Rattus norvegicus: one gene and its partners. The protein of the gene in region 3 interacts with the protein of the main gene of each other region in a pairwise test. Links are inferred from orthologs where the notes say so. Each region holds a gene or a part of one and is shown on either strand. Other genes may lie near its edges.

Region 1 (7,681 bases), on a different chromosome or scaffold from region 3:
AACTTTTTCTTAAAGAATTATATAATAAACAGTTTAGGCTTCATAACACACACACACACACACTCACTCACTACTGCTGATGTAGTGGAAAAGCAGTAATGGATGTTATGTGTATGAACGAGTATGATTATGTATGATAAAAACGTATAGACACCTATTCTCAGTTTCATACAATTCCACCTTGATGAAAAACATTCTCTTCACCTTTCCCAAACATCTTAAAATAATAAAAACCTACTTAGGTCCAAGCAGCAGCAGAAATTAATGGCAGGCCATAATTTGCTCAGTACTGTGGTGCCTCACCATCCCTCCAAATGGCAATTATTAACATGTGTGATAACCGTTTACTTATTGTCTGAACTTTACACTAAAACACAATAAAAGAAAGCTCATTCACTGATCATTTAATTCCTGTGCCCACCATAGTACTTAAACATGGAAGATAAGACAGGAAGGCAGGCAAGCAGTAGCTCTTACCCTGGGAAAGCATTTGGCTTCCCTCAGTTATGCTAGCACAGGTGATTTATATTCAGGCTAACTGTACCTGTTGTCCACACAATGTCTTTGGCTGTTGTTAAAACTCGAGTATACAGTAAAATTACTGGATGATGAAAGGGTTTTGAATGACATGTGGCCCAAATGTTTTATTATACATAATCTATTCTGAGTAAATAAGATTAATGAGACCCTAAGACTGTAGAGGGAAGTGCAGGAAAGGCCCAAGGACTAGGTTTTTCTTTTACCTTTTCCATGACGAAATGCAACTGAAGAACTGAGTTGTGTCAACCACAACTTCTAGTATACAGGTTTTCCTTCCAAAATGCTTAACACTTTAGCAGTTAAAAGGGACACAGGGAATCACAGGAATGTTGCCTGACAAGGTAAAAGCTGCCCTGCAGCGCTCTCCTGGTTACCTGCAAGAGCTCCCTCGTGGGCTGCTGCTGCTTCTCTTCCAGTTGGGCAATCAGGCCACTGAGGTGGGAGATGTTGCAGGAGAACTGAGTGATGGCACCGTTGATGCTATTATAGATGGCCAAGTCTAGCTCCTCAAGGCGAGCCAACAGGCGATACTCATGTTCCTTCAAAGAGTGATACAGCTGCTCAAACTCCCAAACAATTTTTTCCCTCTCCATCTGGGTCAGGCTCTGTAAATGACAAGCAAAGGTAAGAATAGGAAAGGCTCACTGTTAGAATCCTTCAAAATAACCCCCATGACTTAACCCAAAGATCTCACCATTTCAAGTTACATGAAAACAGACACTATGCTCACCCACTCACTTTCCAGTCTACACAGACACGTGCCGACCACGGACTGAATTACTTCAAATCTTAATTAATAAACAGTCTCTAATCTTAAGGGACCCAGTCAAATCAGGGTCAGGTTCATCCACGGATAGGTAAAGACACTGAAACTCAACTGTCTTCCTAAAGTCCATGTTTGCACAGGTCTTGTAGAATGCCATGTAAGCATAAACTAGACAGGCTGTCTAGGCTGAGCAAATGGCACAGGCAATAAAGTGGGGAGAAAAGGCATTGTTCTACATGACTGGAGCCCATGAACATCTTGCCTGGCAGGCGGAGTCATGAAACAATCACAGTGAAATGGCAGGGTTAGGTGTGCACTCTGTGGACATGACCTGGTATGATCGAGCAAGCACAAGTTTCCTGGATGTGTTTACTTGGTCTCAGTAAGTAATCCATGCCCTGATTTTTTAGGGGGTGCTTATGGGTTCCTCTCCATACAATGTTTCTATTGGTTTGTCTATCTTTCCTACATTTCTAATTCCTCCATGCCTGCATTCCTAGCACTTGGAAGGCAGACAAGGCAAGACTGGAACTTCAGGATCACTCTTAACTATATAATGAACTTAAGATCAACTGGGGCTACCTAAGACATCCTAAAAAACCTAGAGTTCTAAGATTATAAACCAAGTGTGGCAGTGCATACTATAATTCCAGCACTTGGGGAGACTAAGGCAGGAATATGGAGAGTTCAAGACCATCCTGGATTGCATAGTGAAACTATTTCTGAATAAACAAATGGTCAGCAAAATGGCTCTAGAGCAGTCAAGAAAGATTTTACTTGAATCCAGCCAAACCCACTCATTTATGTATTAGACATGGCTGTTTTTGAGATGCAATGACTGAGGTGTTGTGATTTAGCTTGTGTAAATTAACAAAGCTAAAAATACTTATTACTGGCCCCTTTCAGAAAGTTTGCTAAAATCTGACTTGAATTCAACTGTTCCAAGGGCCCCTTATACCTCTTTTAACCTGGATAAGTCTTTCAAAGGTATAAAGTATACAATATAACCTTAGACAAAATTAAGGCTAAAGATCAATTTACTGAGTATATCCAAAGCAGTGTGACTGACACACTGGCACAAGTATTTCTCTCTGGAAAATCCTCCCAAAGCTGATATGATACATTGTATGTTTAAGTTTAGTCTACACAAGATCACTGAGAAGTTTCTTCATCCTGTTTTCAAGCAAGAGGTGTCAAGATCGCACTCACTCAGAGACAGGATGGAGCTAAATGATAGGAATGACAGACACCAAGGGGAAATGCTCTGCTTAGAAGTTTTCATTACACCCTTGCCAAGGCTATCCTGATGCAATGCCTCTCTGCAGGCTGGAGACCTGGACCCTTACCAGGAGCTCAGCTCGTGCCTGCTCCCCCTGTGCCCTCCGTCTCTTCTTCAAGTCTTTCACTCTTCTTAGGTGGTCCAGCCGATTCTGGATTTGCTCCTGAAGAAAGTAAACAGTCAGCCAATTCAGAATTTTGCAGATCTCAGCATCAAAATAGCTACTCTGCTTATGACACAGGAACCCAAACTACAGATGCCAAGGCCGGGCTGGACTCTGTCCTCAGACCACAGTGCCATTCCTGGGAAGAGCCTAAAGCACAGGGTCCAGCACAGCTGTTTTAGAAATTTGTTAAACTCAAGCCACCTACCAGTTCCTAGAAGCATTCTGCACAGGTTATGAGACATCTGGGTAAAGAGGCTCAAAAGGTAAGCTATTCCTCAGACGAATACAGAAAAAAATGATTTATTTTCCTCATGCACAGAACTGGTAAGCATTACTAAATTACAACTTTATTTCCAGTGAGTGAAATGATACAGCTTTGTAAACGTGACTGACATTTGGATGAACTCACATTTAAACAAATCTAACTGTTGGTACATATCCCTGCAGTCCTCAAAACAGACTCATTATCACTTGAGAGTTACTTTATATGTAACATTTTCGAATTACTGTGTAGCTGTGCCAGTGTTTATTCAACAAAGGCCTCTTCAGGTCCTGTGAGTTCACTTCCTCTTCATTAAGTTATCTCCCGAGTCTGAGAGTGGCTAAATGATTTACTCAAGCAGTAAAGAGCTCTGTTCATTTCCATTAGGTTCTAAAACAGGTTACAGGGAAGCGCTGGGGGCTTAGATTAAGTGATAGGCATCGGTCGATGTGAATTCGGCCAGCCAACAGGGGCTGTCTGGTTTGATATCCTGGGCCAGAGCAAGTTCGAGGTGTTCAAGGCCTATGGAAGTGGACATGGCTCCATGTGCATCTCCTTTGTCAAGGGAGGGTCTCCTCGCGCCGTCCCAGCCGCGGCACGCGTTGAGGCAGTTAACAGGGGGCGCTCGGAGAAGGGGTGGGGGTGGGGACGCCTCTGGCCTCGCCAGCTACAGGTTCTCCTTCCGAGTCTGAGCGCGGAGGCTCCGCAGCCGACAGGGAGGAAATGACGGCGGTGGGCCCCACGTCCGGCTCGCCATTTTCTCGGCGGCAAACCAGGAAGCCCCCGGCTCTCCTCTTTGTCCGCCGGCCCGGCCCTACCTTGAAGCCTTCCACAGCCTCCTCCAGCGGCAGCACGCTGTGGCCACGGTGCTCGCGCGAGCGGTCGCACACCACGCAGATGGGCATCTGGTCCTGCTCGCAGTACAGCTTCAGAGGCTCGCGGTGCTTCTCGCACACGCCCATCTCGCCGTCCGGCCCCGACGGCCGCTCGGTGCGCAGTTGCTTCACCAGCTGGGTCACGTTGGCCAGGTGCCGGTTGGGCCGCATGTGGCGCTGCGGGAAGGTCTCCCGGCACTGCGGGCACGACACGTTAGTCTCCGCGGCACCCCAGCAGCGGGCCAGGCACGCGCAACAGATGTTGTGGCCGCAGTCGAGCATCATGGGTTCCACAAAGTATTGAAGACACACGGGGCAGGTGGTCTCCTGCTGCAGGGACTCGGCCACGCTCCCTGAGGCCATGGCGCGAGCCGGCTGGGCCGCAGGGCATGAGCCCGGAGCCGAGCTCTGGCAGAGCCCGGCGCTCTCTCTCGGCTTCTCAGATCCGGAGCGGGGTGGGGCCTCCGGCGCGGGGATCCTAGACGCGTGCGGAGCTCTGGGGCGGCCAGACCCGTCCCCGCACAGCTGCACCTCACGGACAGCGCGGGAAGGCCTGGGCCCCAGGGCCCGGCTGAGAGCCGAGCAGAGGGGTGTCGGGAACCCGGCGCTGCAGGATGGCTCACCGGGCAACGTGGCCGCGTCGGAAGGGATCCCAGGGCCGCGCAGACTCCTAAGGGCCGAGCGGAAGAGGTGGGCCGGGGGCGGGGCCTGGCTTCCCGCGCCGCTCTCCTCCGGGGCGGGAAGGCGGGTTTCCTCGGCGCAGTCCTGGAGCCCCGGTACCCAGCCCGGGAGTCGGTGGTGGTTGCCCTTTGCAGTGGGAGCAGGGTGTCCCTGGCAGTGGGGTCGGGATACTCTAAGCTTTGGTGGATCCGTAGTCCTTTGCCGGGTGTCTTCTTAGTGCCTAGGCCTTGGCTCCTTTAAATGCAAGGTGGCTTTGCATAAGTGCCGGAAAACTGGGCTGAGAGACCAGCTAAGCCCCTCCCAGTGTGTGAAGCACTCTGAAACACACCCAACTCCAGGCGATAATAATCGCCAGAAAAAGGTTTTATTATCAGCAACTTTTCTCAGTGGCAGAAATGGAGAAGCCCACTTCTACTTCCACCCTAAAGTAAGTTTGTTTATCGTTCCGAGCCTCATTTTCTTCTCGCGTGAAATGGGGGATTGATAGAATCCAGACCAGAGTGCTCACCAGACCCTGATACCTACTGAAGTCCTTCCCCTTCTCTCTAGCCTTCCGGCTACTAGGGAGCTGCCTCACCGAGAGCCCGCTTGTGAGTCCCTAACTTCTTAACAGGCTCCTCTGGTGCCCAGTTTCTCACTTCCTCAAGTGAAGTAGCCAGACCAGACATATCAAAGAGCTACTTGATGACACACTTCTTCCCTACCACCTGCTGAGGAAGGAGCCTGGCCGCGGGTTCCTATGAGACCCTAGAAGAAACGACCCTGATTCTGCCACGTGGGCTTCATTCTCGAACACTCCCCAGCCCCCACCTCCCCCTGGCGCCTGTGGCGCGGCCAGAAATTCTGATTGTCCACCGCCTATCTGCCTATGGCGCTAATAAAGTTCTTACTCCCAGCAGTCTGTTTCAGTGTCTTCCTTGAGCCCCCATACACTGTTGCTTTCAGGAATTTTCCCCATCCGTGAGTTAAACTTTTTAAAACACAGCTTGAGCCATAAAGATTTTTATCCATTAGTTTAAATGAAGTGTCCAGTGCATTGAACGGCATTGAGTAGAACCTAAAACTTGCTTGTTTCTGCCCAATTGAGAATTCTGCGACGACCCGAGGAGGTCTTGTAGGCTAGCTTCTTATCACAGAATAGATTTGCAGTTCTGTGCCCTGTCACTTCTGCCGTGGCCTTTCCTACTCTCCTTTGGGATTGACTCAGTGTCTGGACAGGGAATTTCTGTATCCAGAGCATCACTTCATTGGATTCTGCTCGGTTCTTTCCCTTGGGACAAGAAATCCGAGGCACTAACAAGTCTTGCTCACCCAAGCCTCCATTCTCCTACCTGCCCTTTTGAAACTCCAGGCTCAAATAATTCAGCACACTTCCAGTAAAAGGTAGAATGCTTGTCCTAGGCCACACCATAGTCTGTCTAGTCTGGTTCAAAACTGAAGTTGGAATTGAAAGTTCTACTCTCACTCCAGAAGGAAGAAGTACGTTTTGCAAGCTGGTGTGTAACTATGAAATGCAGATAGTAGATATGTGTTCTTAGGTTAGCAGTGCAGCTCTGGCGTTTAGCCTTGTCATCCAGGGCTCATGCTGCCTCTGCTTTCCTAACCTTGAGGTAGATGGCCTGGACAAACCGTTGGTAAGGTGAAGGAAGTAGGGGAAAGGGAAGCTTCCCTTCCCCTCCGTGATTGCTACTGGCCCTCTCCTTTCTCAAGTGATGACTATTTTCTCTTCATTCACTTCATTCGGTAGGCTTGTTGTACAGAGCTTTGTTGCTTAGTCGCCTACTCATTCCCAGCTTTTCTCAGCCTTAGAGGTCAGACCCAGGACCTTAAGTTAGGCAAATGCCCTTCAACAATTCCATCTACTCAGTTTTCATTTTTGTTCCTCCACCTCGACCTAAATTATTGCATACCCTACCTGTTTGCAATGATTTGGAAATGATTTAGATGAATAAAGCACTGCTGTGAATTTTTTATCAATTATGGTTGTCGCAGAAGCCTTGCTACTGTCTGACATTACCAAAAACTCTGAGCGCGGTGCAAAGTGGTGGATTCCCTTTGTCGGCAGGGCTTCTCCTTCTTTGACCTTGTCTGGGGAGCTTGGAAACCCCTCCACACAATCTGCCTGAAGAATGTCACGTAGCCTTGATGAGATCACAGGTGCAGCTTCCTGTCCAGCAAGCACCTAAGATTCCAGGAATGCCTTCTCATGCTAATGAGGCATCAGTGACCTTTGACCACCCTGGGTATTCCTACCTCTTCCTCAAAGCTATAGAATCCTTGGTTCACCTCCAGTAAAGTTGATCTGACTCTCCAAAGCTGACCCTGCAGTGTCATTTCCGTTGGTATTCACAGGCTCTCAGAAACCCTCTTCCTCCTGGGCTGCTGGAGAGTGACCCCAGGGAAACCCACATATGGTAACAATACCTAGTGTAGTTGCTAACTTTTATACACTTATGGGAACAAAATAACAATTCTGAATTGCTTAATCATCTAATAGGGGATGAGGATCCTTGATATATGAAGGACTAAAAATCAAAATTAGCGTACACGTTCAATACAAGAATACAAAAGTTTAAAAAAACCAAATCAGTAGTCAAATGAATTAATTGAACATACAATTCTCGAAAGAAGTACAAATGCCCAGTGTGCATGAGTGTGTGTGCACACAGATGCACACACACACACACACACACACACACCAATATCCAACATCTTTAGGCACCAGGGAAATAGAAATTAAAGCCACACTGGGTTCCATCTCCCACCGATCAAAATGGTGACATTGAGACTAAGCAACAGCAAATACTGACAAGGGATTGAAAGGGTGTCTTTATACGCTATTGGCTAGATGGTTAATGAGTACAGGAAATGACTCGAGTTCTCCCTGCTCCTGCCAAATTAAAAGTTGATCTATCTGTAATGCAACCTGCTCCTGGGTATAGTCACACAGAATGCATGGAGAGAATACCTATTCTTATTGATGCACTATTTGTGGTAGCCAAGACAGTAAATCAATCTAGGTGTCCATCAAGAGATGAATACATAAAGAAAATGTGATTCATATGCACAGCAGAATTTGATTTGCCTATAAAGAAGAATGAAATTATTTAAA
Region 2 (7,507 bases), on a different chromosome or scaffold from region 3:
AAGTAAATAAAGATGAAACTGCATTTTGTTGGATGCTTTTACTCTTGTGGAAAAGTGTATCCCTTTGCTGATCTTAGAACCAGTTTCTTCATGCTTCTAACATCTGCTGAAGATCATCATCTCTCCAAGAATCCTCCAGGATGAAGGGCCAGACTGGGACTGAAAGACCTGCCCTTGTGGTCTGAGCAACTACTAAGATCTTGGGTTTCCCAGTGAGTTGACTACTGGAGTACTACAAGAATGGACTGCGTAAGTCACTCTATCACGTCCTCTTTTAACATATATTCACCCTGTGGAAGCAGTGGTTCTCAACCGTCTTAATTGCTTCTACCTTTAAAACAGACCGTGGTGAACCCAAAACATAAAACTTTCATTGCTACTTCGTAACTGTAATTTTGCTAGTTACAGGTCATAATATAGATATCTGATATGTGAAAGGGTCCCCTGACCCCCCCCAAAGGGTTTGTGACCCCCAGGTTGAGAACTACTGCTCCAAAGACTTCTAATAAGTAAAATCTCCTACTTTTTTGTAGGAAATTATACTTTCTGGTAGGTAATTTCCAACTTTGTGCTTTAGCTGTATCCTAAAACTGGTAGGTTTTGTTTTTATTTTTTGGGGGGGTGGGGGGAGGGGAAGCAGTTCGTGTGACCCAGCAAGTGAGGATGACCTTAAATTCCTGATTCTGCCCTCACCTCCCAAAGACCATATGCCTGCCTCTGATGGATCAATATGTTTATCATGCGGTTTTAAATCTTTTCTACCTTCCATTGCTTTCTCAGTTAGTTCACAAACTGGGTGGATCTATTTGGTTTCCAAACACAATTTTTTTTGTTTGTTTACTATTTATTTCTAAATGACCGGAAAACATGATCTGGTATCACCAAATTTACTCTCTAAATGTGTAGACTAAATTGGACATGGTGGCACGCACCTTTAATCTGAGATTAAACAAATATAGGCAAACATAGGCAGATCTCTGTGTGTTTGAAGTCTACGTGGTGAGTTTCAGGACAGCAAGGGCTAACGGTATATAGAGAGAGTCTGTATCAAGAAACTAGAAATAGAAAAATAAATAAGATTTGACTAAACATTTTCATGCTTCAAGGACAAAAAGTCTTCTTTATAACCTCACAGACCTTTGACAACTCATTATCTTGACAGGATAAAGCACCTGCTAAGAGATTAGTGAGGCACACCTCTGGGTGTCAGAGAAAACTGGATCGTGAGCACTGTGATCGAACGAATAGACTAAAATGATTATAATGACTGATTCAAAATATGAGGACTGTAATTGTAATGCTATTCATTACTGGGAACTCCTGGAAGGTCAGAGGCCTAGTGGAGGAAGTGGAAGCTGGTGTCCCTTGAAAGCTGAATCTTAAATGTCTTCTATATCTCAGTTTTTTTCTTGTCATACAATAAACAAATAGCCTTTGCCACACACTCCCTCCCACTCCATGACTTGCTAGGAACAAGCACGGATTATACCCTCTGAAACCTGAGTCTAAATTAACTTTTTTCCGTTTATATTGTCTGCTCAGGATTTTGGTCACAATACAAAACTAATAAACAGTAGCAAACCAACAAAAGACATTTTGTAAATGCGGGCTGGCAGGCTTACAAAATAAGTCTGACCAGAGTTTGATAGCTCTTGGTCTAAATGGCCTCTTGGTACTTTGATAATCGTAAGAGCCTGTTACCTCACACGAAAGTTTCATAACTCTTGAAAATCAATTACTAGCTTACCTTGCCTTCTCTTTAAGAGTCAAGTGGATTGGGGAGGGAGGCAAAAAAAAAAAAAGAAAGAAAGAAAGAAAGAAAGAAAGAAAGAAAGAAAGAAAGAAAGAAAGAAAGAAAGAGTCAAGTGGATTTGCTCTTAAGTGATCCGATTTAGGAATTCAGACATTTTAGCTACCCAACCCTGCAACACTTTGCAGTGAGAGGCTTAAGGCTATCTACTTAGAGCAGAGAATGTATTCTACTTGGTGAGATAGATATAATTATACCCATTTTATGAAAGAAAACATGAAGGGTCAGATGTTTAGAAAAACATGCCCAGTTTCTCATAGCAGTGGAAAAACTGACATTTCCCAATCCAGAACTTCTATTTTCAAATCCAATGCTTATAGTAAGCTAGTTGATTAACCCAGTCCCGTTAACAGTCATGTGTTAAGGAATTAAAGTGCACCATTCATTCCCAGGTGAGACAAGAGCCAGGGGGTAGTGAGTGACATTGTTCCCCTTTAATCCAACACTCTGAGGCAAAGGCAGGAGGAGCTATGCTGCCTGGTCTACAGAGTGAATAACAAGACAGCCAGTGCTACACAGAGAAACCCTGTTTCAAAAATAAAATAAAAATTAAGACACCCACTCAGACGGACTCACTAGAGGCAATAAAGCACCAAAGCTGCTAGAACCAGGGTGCTGAGGCTTGCAAGCTGAGCAAACTCCTCTGGGCTTGATCCTGAACGGAAATGGTTGTCTACAGCGCACTCAAGCTCACTGACCTTGCTACGGTGACCCCAACCCTAAGGCTGCGCGGCCCGTTAGGGCTCTCCCGCTTCCCAACGGCCTGAAGCGCCTGGCATCTAAAAATATCACTTTAAATAACCCTCTTTAAATGTGCCTTGTCTTTTTCCTGAAAACAGATGCTGTCAACACTTTGGCCTCTATTAATCACAGCCTTGGTCTCCCTGCTGATTCAGCCAGCGACCCGTCCCTTTCCAGAACACTGATTTTCCACACTATTCCCCCTCACAGATCAAGTCCAGGCACCCCGAGAAGGGCACTGGACGTTAGGTGAAACCACCCAAAAATAAAATCCCCGATTTTCTCAGCAGTCGCTTTAGGGTCGCATCCTGTGACATTCACAAGGCTTTTCTCCGCCCAGTCAGTGACGGGAATCTCGTGACTGAAAAGCACAGCGCAAGAGTGCCGCTGGGAGTACGGAGGAGGAGCCGCAAGCTCAGGCTCTCTGGTTCAGCCCCGACGGCCGCGCGTGCGCAGTGTCTTGCCTAGGGATCTCTTTCCCGCCGCTCACACTAGGAAGTCAAACGCCAAATCTGTCCCCGCGCAGCTGCAGCCGCCGAGGCGCCCGCCCAGCCCGAGGCGCGCCTGCGCACGTCCCCACGCACGCTCCGGCGTACGGCGGCGGCCAGGGGTCGCGAGCCGGTGGGAGACCCGCGCGCGCGGAGCAGCCCGGGGAGTCGGCGCTTTTTTTCCCTCCCTCCCCCCACTCCCCTCCCCGCTCCCTTCCCCCTTCCCCAAGAATGTTCCGCTACGAGGTGAGTGGCTGCGACCGGAAATGACCCCTCCCTCGCCCGCGCGCCCCCTTTTTCCTCTGCTGCCCGTCGCGCGGGTCTTGTGCGGCTGAGGAGGGGGCAGGGCGCGGACGGCTGGCGACCTGGCTTCGGCCGCCGGGCTCGGGTGGGGCCCGAAGCGCACCTCGGGGGGCGGGACTGGCTAGAGCCGGCCGCTGGTTTGCGGCTGGGAGAGCCCGTTAAGTGCGGTAACCTGACCCTTTCCTTGCGCCTCCGCTCGTGGAGCTGCCTTGGAGACCTGCATTGCTCCTACTCCGTGGCAAAATCCCCGGGGAATGCCCACGGAAGCGTTTCCCGCCCTGCACCCGGAACCCCTTCACCCGGATTACACACACCCGTGTGTACGCGGGCAGCGGTCAGGTGGAGGGTTAGGAACTGGCCCTTGGGCTGAGACTAAAGTCAGCTTGTAAGGAAGGCTCGGAGTGGGGAGGGGGCGTGTCCCCCAGAAGTTCCTTCTAGGTGAATGGAGGAAAGTGTGGGTTTGGTGACGCCTGGAGAATGTAGCTGTTTGCTGACGGTCATTTACTGCTGTGTGACCTTGAGCAACTCCTAATCTTGGGGCCAAACAGATTCCGGATTTATAGTTTAGGGACTGAGCTAGGAAAATCCTTACTGAGCCATCCTGATTTGGCCCAGTAGATCGTTGTGATATAAAGAGTTGCTAGAAGTTGCTTCTGGTATGGAGGCAGTTGCAGGACTGGCTCTTTAGGGGAGGAAGATTGGGTAGAAAGGCCCTTCAGAGTTCCCAGGTAAGTTATATCACAAGCTGTAACACTACTGTGTGGAATTCCATTTTGGAATCTTTGAACATTGAAAACAATAGAATGCTTGACTTTACATATGTGACTCAACTCACTTTGTGAAAAGATGAAGAGTGATGATGAGATACTGTGAATATAAGTTGCCAGAAGCAAAGAAAACTTGGTAAACTGAATAAATTTGAATTGGGAGAAATGATTGAAATTAGCATATACTTACTAAGCTTGTCTAGTGATCTTTACTCCCTGGAGGCTGAGGCAGGAGAATCAGGAGTGCTAAGCCATCCTGTACCTAGAGAAACAGTAACTAAAACAAAATAAAGTAGAACATACCCAAGATGTTATGGTGAGTCTAGCTAATATTCAGCTTTCTAAAATCTTTGCCTCCTTTGATCTTCACACAGATTTCTTTCATCAAGTTGTGTTTGGCTCAGAATTACAGTTTAAGGGACTGAGATTTAGTACCTAGTATAGAGTGTGAAGACATAGTGGGTCCTCAGAAGTTGTCTGGGAGAGTTGTCTGGGAGCCGGAGCAATGGCTGCTCTCCCACAAACCCTGGGTTCAATTCCCAGCACCCACATGGCAGCTCATAACTTGTAACTACAGTTCCAGGGGACCTAGCACCATCACATATACATGTATGCAGGCAAAACACCAATGCATATAAAATAAAAAGAAATTAAAATGTTTTTTCAAGTTTCCTATTAGGCAACTTTATAAGAGTAGAACAAGAAGTTGTGATTGTTTTTTTAATATTTAATCTGCATTCTGGCTGAAAATGATTGCTTTCTGCTTTCTGGCTAGAGTTTAGTCCTACCGGAAAGAGGAAGAAAGATGGACAGATTTAAAAGCATTGAGAAAACGACATGGATATAGTGAGGACGATGTAATTTTGTTGAAAAGGTTGCATGATAATAAAGTGTTCATTTATAATTACCACTATTTCAGACAGTTATATAAAGAAATTGTGTGTTCATCTACAATAAATCTTAAAAAATCATTTAAAGGGTCCAACTTTAAATGACTACATAAATGTGATGAGAAGTTAATCCTTTTTTTTCTTCCCGTAGTCTTTGGAGGATTGTCCTCTAGATGAAGATGAAGATGCATTTCAGGGCCTGGGAGAAGAAGATGAAGAAATTGATCAATTTAATGATGATACATTTGGATCAGGTGCAGTTGGTAAGTGACATCTTTTATTACTGTCTTCGTTGATCTCATCAAGTACTTTGGTGTTAGGTCAACCTCTAATGTGAGTTTTCTGTGTATGCACAAGTGTAGGTAAGTGTGTGGCATGGCTGTTTTGTGAAGGCCAAAAAAAGACCTCAAGAGCTGGAGCTCACATTCTACCTCGTTAAGACAGGATCTCTCTTGTTTCTTCCACAGTGCTACATATTTCAGACTAGGTGGCCCAACAATTTGGGTCATTCTTGTGTCTCCATCTCCTGTCCCAAAGTAGAAATACTGGGATTACAGATGTTGACCTGTGCATCCAGCTGTGTTCTAGGGATTGAATTCAGATCGTCAGACTTGTACATGAATTGGTTTTATCTACTCAGGTGAGCTGGGTATTCTTCCTGACCCAGTTTTGTTTATATAATATAGCCTTCACTAAGTCATAACAGTTCATCTTCTGTTCTGGTCACCTGGGCCTCTTTGCCTCACCTATAACAGGTATTCTCAATTCTCCATAGCTCTAGGTTGATATTATAAGGAAATAATTGGAAAAGTAAACATTTAAATGAGGTTGAAAGTAATCCTGGATAAAGGACGTATTTGTAAAGAATACAAGGAAAACTAATAGATGTATCGAATATTCTGATCTAGTATGTAAGACATTTTAAAATTCACTTTACCACAGTCAGATAGAGGAAAAACTTGAGTTCTAGGCTAGCTAGACTATATGGGGGAGTGGGGGAGGATCCCAAAAAAGGGAAGAAAAAGCCAGGCAGTGGTATATACGTTTAATCCCAGCATTTGGAAGGCAGAGCTCCCGGACAGCCAAAGCTACACAGAGAAACCCTATCTCATACACCCTCAAAAGTGGGAGGAAGCTCGTAGGCTATCACTAGCATAATAATTTCTACTGTCTCAGTTTTTTCAGTACAGTGGCAACACTATATAAAGTTGGGTGATAAAATATCTTCATAAATTAATAACTTGTCCATAGAACAAGTACAGAGAAAGTAGAATAACAAGATAGTTTATAAAGAACAAGTAGAGTACAGATGAAAACCTGAAATGTAGATATTCCTGCTTCAGCAGTAGCAGTGGAATGCAGTGTTTAGGTTGGGGTGTGTGTAACTATTTGTGATTTTAGGGGGAATTGCCAAAGTTCAGTCTGTACAACAAGTGTTTCAAGTTAAATAATGAAGAAAGCCCAGAAAAATACAGCACTAGTGGGTTATCCCAAGGTGTTCAGTACCAAAAGCCTTTTAAAATCCTAACAGTAGATACTGATTGCAATAATTTAAACAGTTAAGTCTTCAGAGCTCACAGAGTTAAGTGAAGTGGAAAAATTGGAAAGGTTTGTTCTTGTCTCCTGTTTGCAAAAATCAGTAGAAAACCAAAACTGTCCTGAGGGAGAGCAGCAAGAAATGCGCTAACAATGGAAGCAGTGCTCAGTAGAGAGAAGAGTTACGGAATCTTAGAGGATAGCCAGAGTTAGGAAATGAGATTGTTCAGGAGCATGGTACGATCCAAGATGCTGTCTCCATGGAGATAGCAAAGGAAGCTGTGTAGACTAGAATTACAAGCACTGAGAGGTGATACAAATTGCAAATTGTATTTAGAAGGTAGTTTAGCAGTAACCCCTAAAACACAGGAAAAGCTATAAACCGTATATACTTGTGTCTAGATTTCTCTAATAAAATACTGTATAGAATGTTCAGTATTAAAATGCATATGATTAATATACTTCACTAAAATGAGAGAGCATAGTATGTTCTCAATTTGAACCTTGACAGAATGGTCTTTGCCTTCTCACTGACATTCAGAGTTTTGAAAATATACCCCTATTGTGGTAAAAATTAAAAAGCCTTCTCTATCAGTTCCCTCAAGCCGGATCTGCTCACTCTGGCTGCTACTCTGCCACGCAGTCCGCAAACCGCTCTCTTCCAGCTGTCTCACTTTTAGCTGCCCTCTCTGTGTGGTCCCCTAGGCAGTAGTTACCATGTCTCTGTCTCTGTCTCTCTCTCTCTCTCTTTCTCTCTCTCTCTCTCTTACACACACACACACACACACACACACACACACCCCTACCTCATTCTGTGGGCCCTGTGTGTTGTCACTCTACTCGGGCAACAGAACCAGATCCGCATGCCCCAACGGCCTTTCAGCTATTTCTTTTACACGCTACCCTCTTTAGCCCAGTAAAATCAAACTTCCAAAAAGTTGTAATTTAGCAATTAGATTTATATGTTAAATT
Region 3 (7,491 bases):
AACAAAACAAAACAAAACAAAAAACCTCCTTGCATTCAAAGAAGAAAGGGGGCATAGGAGATGCTAGATGCAGGTGGAGATGGGGGAGGACCGCTCTGGGGACCCAGTGCGCTCAGTGTATGCTCAAATCTTCCATGTTTATTTCTGTATTTGACTGTGAGAATAGGAAGGGGTCAGGAAAAAAAATCAGGAAGCAGAAGTTTTCTTATCTAGGCCCTGGCTGATCTGGGGGGAGGGGGCTTTTCCTGGGTCAGTGACTCATTTCCTGCCCTAGCCTGAGGTTTGCTTCCACTCTCTGGACTGTCCCTAGGGTGCCAAAGGCCAGGACAGAGGCCGCCAACCCTACTGCATATAGACAACACTCTCACCTCCTGACTCCCAGGATAGGAATCATAGGGGCTAATTATCTAGACTCCCGGTCTGGGGGAGTTTTAGGTGGAATGAGCTGTTTTGTGTGCTCTCCCCCACCCCAACTCCCTACCGATGCAGATGCAGGAAATCGTGGACTGCTAGAGAGATGCTTGTCTGATGAATGGTGCACGTCGGTGTGAGAAGTTGGGCCTCCCCTCCCAGGGGAATCAGCCAAGCAGCAAAAACTTGAGAGGTTCCGCTTAGGTTCAGGCAGGAAGGAAACCCTGCAAGCTGGACAGCCAGACTTCCCCAGCTGGACCTCATCCTCATCCCTACCACCTCTGCTGTGTCTCTGGTCACACCAGCCCGGGCAGTCTTGGCTGTGACATCTGCTGCAGCTGTGGCAGCACGGAGGGCCAGATGTCAGCCTTTTGCCAACCAGAGGGAGAAAAAAGGGAAAAAACGAGATGCCCAGGGAAGCGGAAGGAAATGGAGACACACAGATAGGGCAGTGTCTTGCTTCTCCTGCCAGGTGCCCGTTCTAGCCCTGCAAAGTCCCCTGCATCTGGACAAGCTGCCTCTGCCTACCTTCCCTGGGTTCCCAGGGTTTGAGGCCAGAGTAGTGAAAGCTGAGAAGGTGGGAGCCCCTGGAGCCCCAGTGGGGTCCCTTCTTAACAGGGAGTAAGACAAGGGGAGTCCTAAGTGCTGTTGCTGCAGACACCCAGCCCCCCACCAAACCTCAGACACTTTCCATTTTCTCAGGAACAAAGCATGTTTGTGGGATGAGGTCACCCACACAGCTGCCTCTGGAACAGGAGCATGAAGGATGGGGGGGGGCAGGGAAATGGGGTTCCCGGTCTCTTCTGCTGGCCAATTCCAGTCTCCCTGGCCCCAAAGTCAGAGTTCCCCTGCTCCACCCTGCTCCATTATGAAGCAAGCTTTCAAAGGGCTGGACAGTGAGGAAGATCCCCCAGGACCCACAGGAAGTCGGGATGGTGTCATTGTCGCACAGGAGACTGGAGGAAGTTAAAGGGGGGTGCGCAAAGGATCCTACCAACCCCCTTCTCCATAGCTGCCCTGGCTTAAGATGAAGGAAAGGCATTCCCCGCCCTCCCAAAACACACACACACACACACACACACACACACACACACACACCCCCCTCAGCAAGTACAGTAAATTCTCACCAAACACCTTGGTCTGCCTTGCCTTAGAGTTCAGACTTCAGGCAACAACAGATGTCCCAAGCCTTGAAGGGCCCACCTCTTTGTGGCTTATGAATTTGAACTTTCCCTTCCACAAGGTGGGAGAACACCTGGTTCACAACCAAAGCAGGACACACCAAAGCTTTGGACAGACCAAAGCTGAAGTCTTCAAAGGGGAGAGTCCTCAGGTAGGGGTTATGCTAAAGGATGAAGAGAACCTCCTCTTCCCTCTCCTTCTCTCCCCCCACCGTCATTCAGGTCTTGGTCTCCTCTGGCCCAGCCTCTGAGGATCGCCTGGGCTGTTAGCCACAACAGCAAATACAGGTGGTCTGTGGCCGTGAGTCCACTTGGGAGCCCTTCCTTCCGGGCTTGGCGGCAGCAGCTACCTTCCCAGGTCCAGGCTAGCCCTGGATCCACCCCCTCAGAGCCAGTCACCACAATGAGATGAGGCACCCCAAATAGGGCATGGGTGTGCCTTCTGCTTCCTTCCCAGAATCTCCCAATCCCTTAATCTATGTCTCTAATGAGGACAGAGTGAAGGGCACCACCAAGGCCCACTTGTCTTTTCCCCAGTCCCCCCCACCCCACCCCCATCCCTGGCAAGGCTGGAGGACTAGAAAGGTGAGCTGGGAGATGGTCTGTATTCCTGGTAGCAGGTAGGGGGTGGGAGAGTGAGGGGGGTGAGGAGGTGAAGGGGGTGGAGGAGTAGGGGGTTAGGAGGGGGGTAGATTAGAGGAGACAGTGGGTCTTCCAGATGACCCCAATCTGCTATTTCCACTAACACACATATCTCCATGCCTGACTGAACACACACACACACACACACACACACACACACACACACACACACACACACACACCAGTGAACTTCCGAGAGCAGAGTGGCAGCATATCTTTCTGTACGGTGTCCAGTGTATAACAGCTTGCTTGGGTCACAAAATATAAACCCGACTTGAAATCCTGTGACCTTGGGTACACAGTTTACATGCCCCGAGACTGTCCATCTAGTTAAATGAGATACTATTACCTCCCTCTCCTAAGACAGCTGTTGAGCTTAAATGTGACAATCCCCAGAACAGTGTCTGGCCAGTCATAAGTCTGTAGCCTTATGTAAGTAAACGGTAGTCACTTGTATTTTTACTACAAGCCCCTCAACTCCTACTGGGGTCAGACGGTGGGTCTCAGGCAGGCCTGAAGCGGGAATTGGCCTGGGATGTGACCTCAGGAGTCTCAGGGAACCACTGAGACCAGTCAGCAGGACACAGGAGGAGGGGGAACTTTAAAGACCTTACAGGTGGGTAGTTCCCGGGGGCACACACTTTGCTCGATGTCTTGTTATTTACACAATACATACCCCACGGTCACTACAAGCCGCACACCAAAAGGCAGGACAGAGTGTATAGCTCGTTTAGAGCTCAGCACAAGACACTAGGGGCAGGCTAGGGGCATGACCGAGACTGTTCAGCAATTGGAGCACAAGTGACCTATCCCTTAGTGGAGAGCTCTGCCTGGAAATGCTATGATAGTGGTGGAAGGGGCAGTCATGGGGGGAGGGGAGGACGGGGCTGGCTCTCCTCCCCAGCTGTCAACCTGCCATTGGAAGACACCCAGAAGTCTTTCCAATCACCCATGCCAACTGCTCAACCCTTTGGTATACCCCCCTTCCCCGCCTCCCGCTCCCCCACATATCCCAAGTCCACGAGGACCCTGGCCAGACCCCACAGCTGTGACTCAGACTTAGAGAAGACCCCTCCCCCTTGACAAGAGACTTAGGGGAGAAATTAGAGCCCCCTCTAACCCTCCCTCTCCCTGTCCCCCAACCAGGCACCAATCCCAAACTCTCCACCGCCCCTCTTGCCCACAGGGCCTGGAAGTCAAGCAGTTTAGGGAGAAGGGGATAAGGGAGCGGATCCAGCAGCTGCTCTGAGGACAGGAGAGGAACATTTCATTCACCCCAGAGTCCCCTAGGGCTGAGGCAGAGCGTCCAAGATTTGAGTTTAAAAATAAGTTGGCGCTGTCTTAGAGGCTGTACGGGGCTCTCTTTCTTCAGCTCAGCGTTACAGCCTCAGGTCCTCTGCCTCCTGGGGGATGGGCTGGCTAAGACTCAATTTCCCCCTAGCTTTGCCTCCACCCTTTCAGGCCTGGGGCAGCTGTCAGTGAATACACTAGGTGTCTCTCCTCAGTGAACTCTAGCCTCCACTCCATACCTCTCGGTACCCTTGGGCTGCTGTCTTTGTGTTGGGGTGAAGGTGTTCCTGTATCTCTGAAACTGTGTCCTAGTGGGGCCTCCACTCTGAGGATCTCTGTCCCTGTGCATCCAAGTCTTGGTCTCTCAGCGTCTCAGTGTCTCTCACCTGAGAGTCTCTTTAGGCCTCAGGGAGGCAGATTTAGCCATAGTCTAACAAGCTCCAGCCTCGGGGCCTTCCAAGGCCCTGGGAAGGGCGCTAGCAATGAGTTCCCTGGGGTCATACATTTTGCTTCTTAAATTGCTCCACAGAACCCGGGTCCCCGGCAGCGCCTCGAGAAGTTTATCCGGCCATTCTCAGCCACCATTGGTGTGGTCCGGGTAGCCTCCTGGGGCGCGCGCCCTTCCCTGTTCTACCAGACTCCTTAAAAGCCTCAGTTTCTCCAACCCCGCTACCTCTAAAGCTTTTCTAGTTCAAACTTGGTCCCAATCCCCTGCAACTCGGGCGGTCCCTGCCCGACCGGGAGGCGCGGAGCGGTGGGGTCCGTGCAGGCGCGCGGGATCCCGTGTTCGAGATGCCCCAGCAGAGGACAGGGGTGGGGGCCCGGGCGCCAACCCTGGTCCGAACGCAGCGCGGAAACAGGGGCTGGAAGCTGGGTGGGTGGGGGGACTCTCACCTCGAAGCGGGCGCGGGAGCTTGGGCGCGAGCGGCGTGGGTGGGGCGGGAGCCGATCTCCCGGCGGCTCCTACCTGCGGGCCGGGCCGAGGGGGCCGAGAGAGCCGCGGCGAGGTAGCCTGCTGCGACAGACTGTGTGGGCGAGTGGGCGCGCGGCCCTAAGCCTCCGAGGAAGTGAGCCGGCCCGCCCCGCCCGGACCCCGCCCCCGGGCCCCCAACCCGCCCGCGGGGGCAAGACCCCGCCCCCTCCTGCCTGCCGCGAGCCCAGCCCAGGCGAATCTGGCGCTCTGACCTTCTCGACCACTCCTTGCTCGCCCCCTGCAGCCTGACCCGCCCTCTACGCCCCTTCGACCCCGGGGGATTTCTGGAAGCGATCCCAGGCCAGGGATACGGGGCTTCCAGGACTTAGCTAGAGTCCATCTGGGGACCAGACCCCCTCCTCTTTTCCCTCTAGCTCATCCCCAGATGTTACACTAAACCTTAGCTTGGGAAGAGGCCTTAATCCAGCCTGCTGGAGGCGTGGTTTTGATTCTGACTTACCAGTGGAGATCAAGGGTTTGTGTTTGTTTTTTTTTTTTGTTTTTTTTTGTTTTTTCTAAAAACTTGGGTTAAAGAGAGAGAGCCTCTATCCTCCTCAATTTCAAAGGATTTTTATTCTATAAGCGAGTGGCGAAAGCCCAGGCAACAGCCTCCCCATCTTCAGCTGTGTCCTGGCACTGAGGTTTCAATAGTGCCCAGGAATAATTTTGACCTTTCAGGCTCAGGGAGACCCTAATCCTAGGTCCCATTGGCTTTGGGTTTCTTGAGAGGGTGTGTGAACAATGTGAGGGGTTGGGTTGGTGTAGGCAGGGGTGGTTAAGAAGAGAGGGAACTTGTGTAGTTTCTGACCCTCCAGCTTCTACCCTGGTTCGGGAAGGGAGGACTGGCGCCTGCCAGGGACATGAGGCCCATCCAGGTCCTTGAGGCCAACCCCCCTGGGATCCTCAGGCTTGTCACTAGAAATAAATAGCCTTGATCTGGAGGGCGGGGGTGGGGTGGGGGAAGCTCTGTTGTGCTGTTTGCAAAACAAGAGACAACAAACTAACCCTGGTAATAACCTTTGCATCTCCGTGATGATTCAGATGCCCAGAGAGGCTTCCCTGATCCAAGGCTGCATCCAGCCAAGGTAGTTTGTGGGGATTAAGAGCCTTCAAGGCTGGTGAGGATCGTTCCATAACATGGGTCTGGTTCCTAGGTCCTAAAACAATTACCAGACCAGGTTTCCTTTTAAAGTTAAAGAATTGCTTCAATGTTGTTGATTTTTTTTTTTCCCAGAGCTGGGGACCGAACCCAGGGCCTTGTGCTTGCTAGGCAAACGCTCTACCACTGAGCTAAATCCCCAACCACAATGCTGTTGATTCTTGTTTGTTTTTTGTTTTTGGAGCTGGGGACCGAACCCAGGGCCTTGCGCTTCCTAGGCAAGCGCTCTACCACTGAGCTAAATCCCCAACCCCAATGCTGTTGATTCTTAAATTGCAAATGCCACGAGAGCAGAGGTTGGGTCGGGGTTTTTTTGTTTTGTTTTTGTTTCTGTTGTTGTTCACTACGGCATTCCCAGTATCTACTCCAGTGTTCGACCTGCAGTAAATGAGGAAAGAATGTCACACACTGCTTTCATTTAGACCCCCCTGCTACTCCCTGCCAGGCACCTGCTATCAGGAGTCTAGCCAGTGAATAGAGAGTCTAAGGGTGGGCCCTTCCTCTGGGATTTGTCTCTCAGGTCTAGGGAACTCTAAATGTACAGGAATGCAGGAAACACCATCATTCCTGGTTGGAGCAGACAGCAGGGGTCTGTCTGTCTGTCCTGACATGAAGTGAGGACAATGGTGGGAAAGTGTGCTGGCTAGTTTTATGTCAACTTGACACAAGCTAGAGTCTTCGAGAGGAGGAAACCTCAACTGAGAAAAGGCTTCCATAAGATCAGGCTGTATGAAAGCCTGTAGGGCATTTTTCTTTTTCTTTTTCTTTTTTTTTTTTTCTCTTTCTTTTTTCTTTTTTTTTCGGAGCTGCCCAGGGCCTTGCGCTTGCTAGGCAAGCCCTCTACCACTGAGCTAAATCCCCAACCCCAGGCATTTTTCTAATTAGGGATTGATGGGGGAACACCCAGTCCAGTGCCATTTCAGGTGGTGCCATCCCTGGGCTGGTGGTCCTGGATTCCGTAAGAAAGCAGGCTGAGCAAGCCAGTAAGCAGCACCCCTCCACGGCCTCTGCATCAGCTCCTGCCTCCAGGTTCCTGCCCTGTTTGAGTTCCTGTCCTCACGTCCTTCAGGGATGCACTGTGATGTTGAAGTATAAGTCAAATAAACCGTTTCCCCCCCCAACTTGCCTTTTGGTCACAGTGTTTCCTCATGGCAGTAGAAACCCTAACTAGGACTGAGCCCTGAGGTATGAGTGAGCAGTAAAGGTACTTCATTCTCTGATCTTTCATCTTGTTTTTATGGCTTGAAGTGCTACTGAAGGGTGTTACCAAGATCCCAGACTCTGTGAACTCTCAGTGCGCACCACTCCCTAAGCACTTTACATACATGAACTCATGTAATTATCCAATAAACATATATATGTACATATATGTGGGTGGTTTGTGTGTGTATGTGTGTGTGTGTGTGTTCACATGTGTGTGCTAGTGCTAGTGTACCTGTGTTCTTGTGTCGGAGGTCAGAGGACAATTCTCTGGAGTCAGTTCTCTTTAAAAATAGAATTAGGGGGGCGAGACAGATAGTTCGTTGCATGAGCCTGCTTGCTGTTAGTTTTCTAACGCCATAACCAAAAGCAAGCTAGAGAGTCAACGGTTTATTTCAGCTTACAATTCCACATAGCAGCAGCATCAAGGGAAGTCAGGGCAGGAACTCCAGCAGGACAGGAACCTGGAGGTAAAAACCATGCCAGAGCCAGGGCTGGAGAGATGGCTCAGTGGTTAAGAGCACTGGTTGCTCTTCCAGAGGTCCTGAGTTCAAATCCCAGCAACCACATGGTGGCTCAGAACCATCTGTAATGGGATCTGATGCCCTTTTTTGGTGTGTCTGAAGACAGCTGCA
Region 4 (7,467 bases), about 5.0 Mb from region 3:
CAGGACCTCTGGAAGAGCAGTCAGTGCTCTTAACCGCTGAGCCATCTCTCCAGTCCGCCTCCTCACTCTCTTGCTCTTCCCCCTTCTTTTTTTTTTTTTTTTAAGATTTATTCATTTATTATATATAAGTACACTGTAGCTGTCTTCAGATACACCAGAAGAGGGAATCGGATCTCTTTACAGATGGTTGTGAGCCACCATGTGGTTGCTGGGAATTGAACTCATGACCTCTGGAAGAGCAGTCGGGTGCTCTTAACCACTGAGCCATCTCTCCAGCCCGCTCTTCCCCCTTCTTGCTCCCACTCTCTCTCCAGGTGCTCATGGCTGGCCTCTGCTTCTCTACTCACTCCCTTTCTCTGCTTCGATGACCCTCTTAACTCCCTCCCTATACCCTGAATAAACTCTATTCTGTACTATACCAACATGTGGCTGGATCCTCGGGAGGAAGGGATGGCTCAGCCTGGGCCTACACTGAGGCACCCCCTTCCCCGACTCCTGACTACACCTTCGTAGGACATATCGCCCCTCTCTTTATAAACACATCAGCCATTGGAAGAGAAAGCAGGTTTACTTCCTCACACCCCAATCCCTGATCCTACCCACTTCCCCATTAGACTATGGTTTCCAGACACCGGTGGTGGTGATGGTGGTGGTGGTGGTGGTGGTGGTGGTGGTGGTGGTGGTGGTGGTGGTGGTGGTGGTGGTGGTGTTAGCCCTGCAATTCTCACACTTCTCTAAATTCTCATAAGGCAAAATCTCATCGATCCTGGAAAATAGAGAAAATACCAAACCCAGAGCAGAAACTATCGAGCCATTCCCCACATAAAGACTCTGAAAAAGAACTCCTCTGGGAGGAGATGGTGCTGAGGAAGACAGATAAAAACCCAGCAGAGCCAGGAAGTCTTTGCAGAGGTGACAGCGCCTGGCCACAGGCTGAGCCGGGCAGGAAAGCCAGCCAGGGGAACAGTAGAGACCCCTCCATCTCCAAGGTGCAAAGTGCAGGTATGGATCCAGCTAGATCAGGGCAAGCCCCGACCTCCTCTGGGTCCTAGCCTCCCACGAACCACAAAAGGATTCAGTCGCAACCCTCCCCACCTCTTCTCTGTCTGAGAGTGTGAAGGGTATCTAGGGCTAGCCCAGTTCCCAGTGTCTAAGGATGTCTCTTCCTCATTGAAGTCACAGATCTAGGATTGTCCCAGACACAACAGGAACTCCAGGAGCAGCGCAACCACTTGGCCATGGAGCTGCTGTGGCTACAGCAGGCCATTAACAGTCGGAAGGAGGTAGGACTGACTGAGAGCCCTCTCTGAACTCAAGGGTGGGGAGGGGCCTTTTGCTGTGCCTGAGCAAGCCTGCCTCTGATCTTCCCTAACAGTACCTGATTCTCAAGCAAACACTGCGATCCCCAGAAGCAAGCCAGATCAGAGACAAGCCTACTAAGATGTGCCTGAAGCACAGGGGACAGGCCTATGAGGAGACCTGGTTGCAATCAAGCTGTGTTCTGGACAACCAATCCTATAGAGACGGGGTCATAGGAGAGCCACATCATGCAGAGGATTCCTGCCACAGGGGCACATTGCAGCCGCAGAAACCCCCAGACAGTATGACCAGTACAAGCAAAGCCACTGCTGGGGCTAAAGGCGGGGAACTCTATCGGAACTCTGGTTCACAGCTGCCTACAGCATTAGAGAGCCAGGCTGGAGGGGTCAGGGTCACCAAAGGGCCAGACCGTGGAGGACAGCCCTTTAATGAAACCTCCCGACAGCAGCTGAAACTCCTAGAAGATCAGACTCTTAGGGACCTCAAATTGAGGAGTTCTTATTCTGGAAAGGTCGAAACACAGCTGCCCACTCTCAGTGAAAATCTAAATATTGAGGACAGATATTCCAGAAAGCCAAGCTACAAAGAGGCTGACTGGCCAGAGCGCCGGGCCCTATGATCTGAGTATCTCAGAAGGCCGCAGGATTTGGGATGAGACCTTGGCAGGGCAGGAACATGGTAGCCTGGATCTCACAGAGACCAAACCACCCAAGAGCCAGCCCCTAGTGCTAGGGCTTCCAGCCATGGGTCTGCAGTGAGCTTAGTGCAGAAGGATGGGAGAGCACGGACTCTGCAGTGGAAATGAAAAGCACTGGAGAACTTGTCTTCCACAAGACAGGCCTGGGGGAAGGGCAGAAAACGGAAAGCAGGACCAGCAGGCAACCTGGGGACCCAGGAAAGGAAGGGGGTGCTATGAAAAATGATATGGAAGCAGGCCCTTGTCCTGCCTCCCTGGCCCCACATCTGCCTTTGGTAGCTGTCTGGCTAAGAGAAGCTGCAGGGCTGAGCTGGTACAGTAGGAGAGAGAAGGACGACACGCCCTTTTCTCTTCTGCCTGTGACTTAAACCAAATTTTGTGGATTGATGTCTACTTGCAGGCACAAAATATGGCAGTGAAAAAGGCAAGCGGGCTGAGAATTTGAGAGGCGGGACAGAGTAAGGAGGAGGAGAGAAGGATGACCCAGATCCGGTGGCTTTAAATAGCCACAGGTGGCTATGAACCTTATATGGGATGGGTAATTACAGGACAATTTGTCTTATCTAGGTGGGCAGTTTGTCAATTTCAGTTAGCCCTGAGTTTATTGTGTGGACGTTTTGTGGGGTGAGAATTTACTGATATAAATTTGATTGATAAATTACAAGCCTCTAGAGTTTTGATTTTGCTGGGTTACTGGGAATTGTGACTATAACCACAAGGGGCATGGGGCTAGCGTGACAGTGACCTGCCAAGGGAACTTAGCGAGTTGGGTGGAGACAGTTCAAGAGCTCTAGGCCAGAGAGTCTGTCAAGTCTGGCAGGCCAAGATGAGAGGATGCTGCTGGTGCCATATGGCCTTCCGTGCTGGTGCTAGCCTGAGACAGTTCCTTTTTTTATTACCTGCTACAAAATTTCACCTTCTCTTGGGGATGGTAGGGTGAGAGGACCATGGAGAATAAGTTTTTCTTGAGGGTCTGGAGAGATGGCTCAGCGGTTAAGAGCACTGACTGCTCTTCCAGAGGTCCTGAGTTCAATTCCCAGCAACCACATGGTGGCTCACAACCATCTGAAAGATTGGATGCCCTCTTCTGGTGTGTCTGAAGACAGCTACATTGTACGTACATATATATATATATAGAGAGAGATATAGATATAGATATATACAATCTTTTGAAGAAAAAAGAGTTCAGAGTTTCTCACTGGGCCTTCTTGCCAACCCCACGTAAATTTTGTTCCATCAGTGGTGCTGAGTCTGTAAATTGCCCACTCAGTGAGGCTTCCGTTGGCTGCTATTAACGGACCCCAGTCCACATACCATACCTTGATGCTTTCCTTAGTTACCTGCATGTCAGAACAGGCTTTGGGGAAGTTTTGAGCCTGTCTCCTTTTATCTCCTGCCTCTGACCAGGACAGATTCTGGGCCATCTGATTCACCTCCCACTGACATGGGAGTGTCATCCCCAGAACCAGCTAGCAACAATGCCAAGGGAACTAGCCATCCTCCTTGGGTAACAGGCTCCAGGCTGGTTGCTCTTGGTCTCAGTTGTTTAAAGGAGCCCAAACCTTGGACAAGATGGACATCTCTCTCTCACTGAGCCCGAGCTCTTCCTTTCATAATGGCGTCAGACCAGGCTGAACAAGGGCTAGAGTTTTTCACTGCAAAGTCAGTGAAAAAGTGATCACACCTGTCCTGCTATGAGGCCCATCTGAGACCCTGAATTCAGGGAAATGCTCCCATCCAAGGTGCTTGCAGCCTTCCTGGATAAGAGGGCAGAACTCCACCTTTGGCACATCTCCCAGCCCTGGCTTAGTTGCTTGGCAACAGCTCTGTGTCTGAGAGTGAGGATACACTATGGCAGCCAAGAGGATACTGGTGTATCGAAATGGGGACCCCTTCTTTCCAGGCCACCAGCTGGTGGTGACCCAACGCCGCTACCCCACCATGGAGGCTTTCCTTTATGAGGTGACATCAGCTGTGCAAGCCCCACTGGCTGTACGTGCCCTCTACACACTTAGTGATGGCCACCCTGTCACCAACCTGGCTGACTTACAGAACGGAGGGCAGTATGTGGCTGCTGGCTTCGAACGATTCCACAAGATCCAGTGAGTGGGTGGGGGCTGGCTTGAGCGTCTGGGGAGGGCGGTGGGATTAACAGTGCATCTAGTACTTCAGGTCAACAGGCTAATATTTTTCCAAAGCCTGGGGAGAGACTGTACACTACCAGAGTGCAGAAGCACACTGAGAAACTGGCCAGAGGCTATGTAAGCAAACAGATTGAGCTGTAACTCAGAGTTAAGTTCTGTTACCAAGGTGTATGTCCATCACAACCAGGACAAGCCTACGGGCAGAATTCTGTAAATTGGATGTCTTTCTGAAAGCTGTTTTTGTTGAGTAATTTAGTTTTTAAAGCCAGGCAGTGGGAGGCACACACCTTTTATACCAGTACTCAGGAGGCAGAGGCAGTTGGATCTCTGTGTTGGAGGGCAGCCTGGTCTACAGAGTGCATTCCAAGACAGTCAGGGATAGACAAAGAAACCCTGTCTCTCAAACCCCTCTCCCCCCAATTTTTTTTTTTGGCTCTTTTTTTCGGAGCTGGGGACCGAACCCAGGGCCTTGCGCTTCCTAGGCAAGCGCTCTACCACTGAGCTAAATCCCCAACCCCCCAAATTTGTTTTAAGACAGGGTCTCACCATATGGCATCTGTTGGCTCGGAACTCACTCTATAGATCAGGCTGGCCTCCAACTCCCTGCCTCTGCCTCCCAAGTGCTGAATCAACTCATCCTCAGGAAGAGCGAGCAGGGAGTGCTCTTGTGTGTGTGTGTGTGTGTGTGTGTGTGTGTGTGTGTGTGTGTGTGTGTGTGTGTCGGGATACCTCGCCAGAGTTAGTTCTTTTCTTTCTCCATGTAGGCTCGGAGGTCAGGCTTGGCAGTAAGTGGCTTGGTCTCTCCAACCCTGAGAGCTGCTGCAATCCCACCGTCACTGATGAGCTCACTACTCAGTGTCCGAAGCTCCTGTTAGATTGGTCCATCCCTGCGAGATGACACTGTCTTCCAAAGTGGAAGAGCAGTGAGATGAGAGCTCCCAACTCAGCCCTACCTTCCATACCTGCTCCGAGAGCTCAGTGGAGTAGTTTACTAGAGGGAAGGAACAAGGTGTCTGGACTTAGTCACCTTCTGTGTAAACCTGTACAAGTCATCGCTTTGACTATCATACAAAGTGAAAATAAAATCAGCCCATGAACCGGGGAATTTCTGGGCTATAGTAAGATACTTCATGCTTGGGGGCTGAAGAGATGGTTCAGCGGTTAAGAGCACTGACTGCTCTTCCAGAGGTCCTGAGTTCAATTCCCAGCAACCACATGGTGGCTCACAACCATCTGTAATGAGATCCGATGCCCTCTTCTGGTGTGTCTGAAGATAGCTACAGTGTGCCTATATATAAAATAAATGAATAAAAAAAAAAAAGATACTTCATGCTTGCCTTTGGTCTTCAACAATGGTGTACCTAATATCTACCTGGATTACTCAGTACTCAGGGATCCTAAGTCATCCACATTCCTAGCTCAAAAAGAGAGTGCTCCAGTGAGGAGGGATGTTTAGGGTGCTGGGCAGCTACTGGAAGATTGCCTCATGCCACAGAGGATGGTCCTCGTCTAACGGAGGCTTTGAGATGCTTGGCTGCATCAGGAAGGAAGTGTGAACAGATGATTGGTGTGGGAGGGGTAGGAGAACAAATTTAAGAATTTGGAGCCAGGCCAGTAACGACTGTAGGCCCATAATCCTCGCACATAGAACACAGAGGTGGGAGGGTCCGAAGTTGAAGATCATCTTTCATTATACTCTGTGCAGAGGCTAGCCTGGGGAAACTCCATCCTCCCATCTGCCTAGCCTGGATCTCACTAGGTAGATCAGGCTGATCTCAAACTCAAGATCCCACTGCCACTGCCTCTGGAGTGCTAGAATAGTTTTGTTTTGAGACAGGCTTTATCTGTATAACCCTGGCTGTCCTGAATCTCACGCTGTGGACCATGCTGGCCTTGAACATAGAGATCCACCTGCCTCTGCCTCCCAAGATCTGGGATTAAAGGTGTGTGCCACCAATGCCCAGCCAGAGAAGTGCTAGAATTAAAGGTATGTACCACCATACCCATCTCAAAGTAGTCAAGGGAAAGGGCAACCCACAGAATTGTCTCCTCAGACCTGCCATGGTGCTAAGAATCTCAGTTGTAATGGGCATAAACCTACCTGGTCAAGGTTCACACTTCCTTAAGGTGACCTGGGACCTATCTGTCCTTTCAGCTATTTGCCTCCTGGAAGGAAATACCCAGGTGGGAAGAACAGGCAACAACATGTAAGTCCTGGGGGTGGGGACTGTCTGTAGCCTCTTTTGTCCCATCCCTCCTGGGACTGCTCCACTTTTGAGAAAGGTCCTGGAAGCAGCAAGAGTTGTTGGTTTCAGGGAGCACATCACGCTTGCTCTAGACCCTGCTGCTATCCTGGGACATAGGATTGAGGACATTACCTCTGGCTCAGTCCCAGCCTTTGACCTAATCTCCAGGCCATGGTCCCCAAAGGAATAAGTAAATGGTGACATCCAAGGGCAAAGGACAGGAGTTATGTGGCCCAGGAAACACAGATGCTCCTTTCAGGAAGGTGTGACCAGATTCACCCTGCTCTCTCGCTTGCCTTCACAAGTTTGGGTCCTGTCTGCTCACCCCATGGTTAGAACTAACCAGTCCCAGCAAGCCCTGAACTTCTGACTTGAAGACCTGCCTTGGTTTCAGGAGTCTCCCATATCTCAGCGCCCATGTGATGGGGCCTTTGGACAGTGGTTGCCAGCAGACACCCTCTGCTATATCCAGTGAGTGCCAACCTCGGGAGTGGGGAATACGGATTTGTGACTCCCTGAGGCCAAGAAGACAGGAGTGGGGTTTTGTTTCTTCCTATCACAAGTGGGAAGATTAAAAACCCAACATGTCGGTGGTTCTTGGACCACTTGGTTCTTGCACTCCCTTTCACAGAGGGACTCTTGGAGACCCTTGCCCTTATTGTTCTTTGTCTCAGTGTGTTCAGGAACGGGGACCTGCTAAGTCCCCCCTTTAGTCTGAAGCTGTCCCAGACTGCCATCCAGGACTGGGAAGTGGTCTTGAAGCTACTGAATGAGAAGGCTACGGTACAGAGTGGGACTGTACACAAGTGAGTACGGAGACAAGGGAGAATGCACCCCCTCCAAGGCGCAACACTGTTTTAGCTGCTCCCCAGGATGAAACAGCCATGGGAAGGTGTGTTCTCTCCAGCTGGACTTCCTCCTGTGCCCTAGAGGAGGGGTTCCCTAACCCAGCCCTCCAGTCAGGGCAGAACCTAAGTTAACTGTTGCCCTGAGGACCAGAGTCAGAAGGTCCTCTGATGGAGCTTAGTGCCTACTCAGAGGGTAGGAAGCAGTCTCTTAC

The links. The genes of interacting proteins can lie anywhere in the genome.
Region 1: the proteins of Fhl3 (region 3) and Trim27 interact in a two-hybrid assay, tested with the Homo sapiens proteins (2 studies listed by BioGRID and IntAct). The two-hybrid records come from large-scale screens. The link is inferred for Rattus norvegicus from reciprocal best matches to the Homo sapiens genes FHL3 and TRIM27.
Region 2: the proteins of Fhl3 (region 3) and Patl1 interact in binary tests that used the Homo sapiens proteins (3 or more experiments, as listed by UniProt). The two-hybrid records come from large-scale screens. The link is inferred for Rattus norvegicus from reciprocal best matches to the Homo sapiens genes FHL3 and PATL1.
Region 4: the proteins of Fhl3 (region 3) and Dcdc2b interact in binary tests that used the Homo sapiens proteins (3 or more experiments, as listed by UniProt). The two-hybrid records come from large-scale screens. The link is inferred for Rattus norvegicus from reciprocal best matches to the Homo sapiens genes FHL3 and DCDC2B.

Annotation. Positions count from the first base shown.
Region 1 is NC_086035.1:48,241,807-48,249,487, forward strand, and holds the start of Trim27 (zinc finger protein RFP), read right to left. Parts: upstream 4,252-7,681; coding exon 3,832-4,251; intron 3,300-3,831; exon of another isoform or gene 3,161-3,299; intron 3,095-3,160; exon of another isoform or gene 2,957-3,094; intron 2,749-2,956; coding exon 2,653-2,748; intron 1,146-2,652; coding exon 915-1,145; intron 1-914. Other genes in the region: uncharacterized protein LOC134482717, read left to right, coding at 4,250-4,578, 5,183-5,219. UniProt on the Homo sapiens protein: E3 ubiquitin-protein ligase that mediates ubiquitination of various substrates and thereby plays a role in diffent processes including proliferation, innate immunity, apoptosis, immune response or autophagy.
Region 2 is NC_086019.1:218,252,710-218,260,216, forward strand, and holds the start of Patl1 (protein PAT1 homolog 1), read left to right. Parts: upstream 1-3,165; 5' UTR 3,166-3,270; coding exon 3,271-3,285; intron 3,286-3,382; exon of another isoform or gene 3,383-4,070; intron 4,071-5,150; coding exon 5,151-5,262; intron 5,263-7,507. UniProt on the Homo sapiens protein: RNA-binding protein involved in deadenylation-dependent decapping of mRNAs, leading to the degradation of mRNAs. Acts as a scaffold protein that connects deadenylation and decapping machinery.
Region 3 is NC_086023.1:142,235,765-142,243,255, reverse strand, and holds the start of Fhl3 (four and a half LIM domains protein 3), read right to left. Parts: upstream 4,467-7,491; 5' UTR 4,419-4,466; intron 1-4,418. UniProt on the Homo sapiens protein: Recruited by SOX15 to FOXK1 promoters where it acts as a transcriptional coactivator of FOXK1.
Region 4 is NC_086023.1:147,237,435-147,244,901, reverse strand, and holds the start of Dcdc2b (doublecortin domain-containing protein 2B), read left to right. Parts: upstream 1-3,125; 5' UTR 3,126-3,868; coding exon 3,869-4,119; intron 4,120-6,316; coding exon 6,317-6,368; intron 6,369-6,801; coding exon 6,802-6,878; intron 6,879-7,081; coding exon 7,082-7,213; intron 7,214-7,467. Other genes in the region: Iqcc (IQ domain-containing protein C), read left to right, coding at 750-1,002, 1,177-1,283, 1,376-1,939.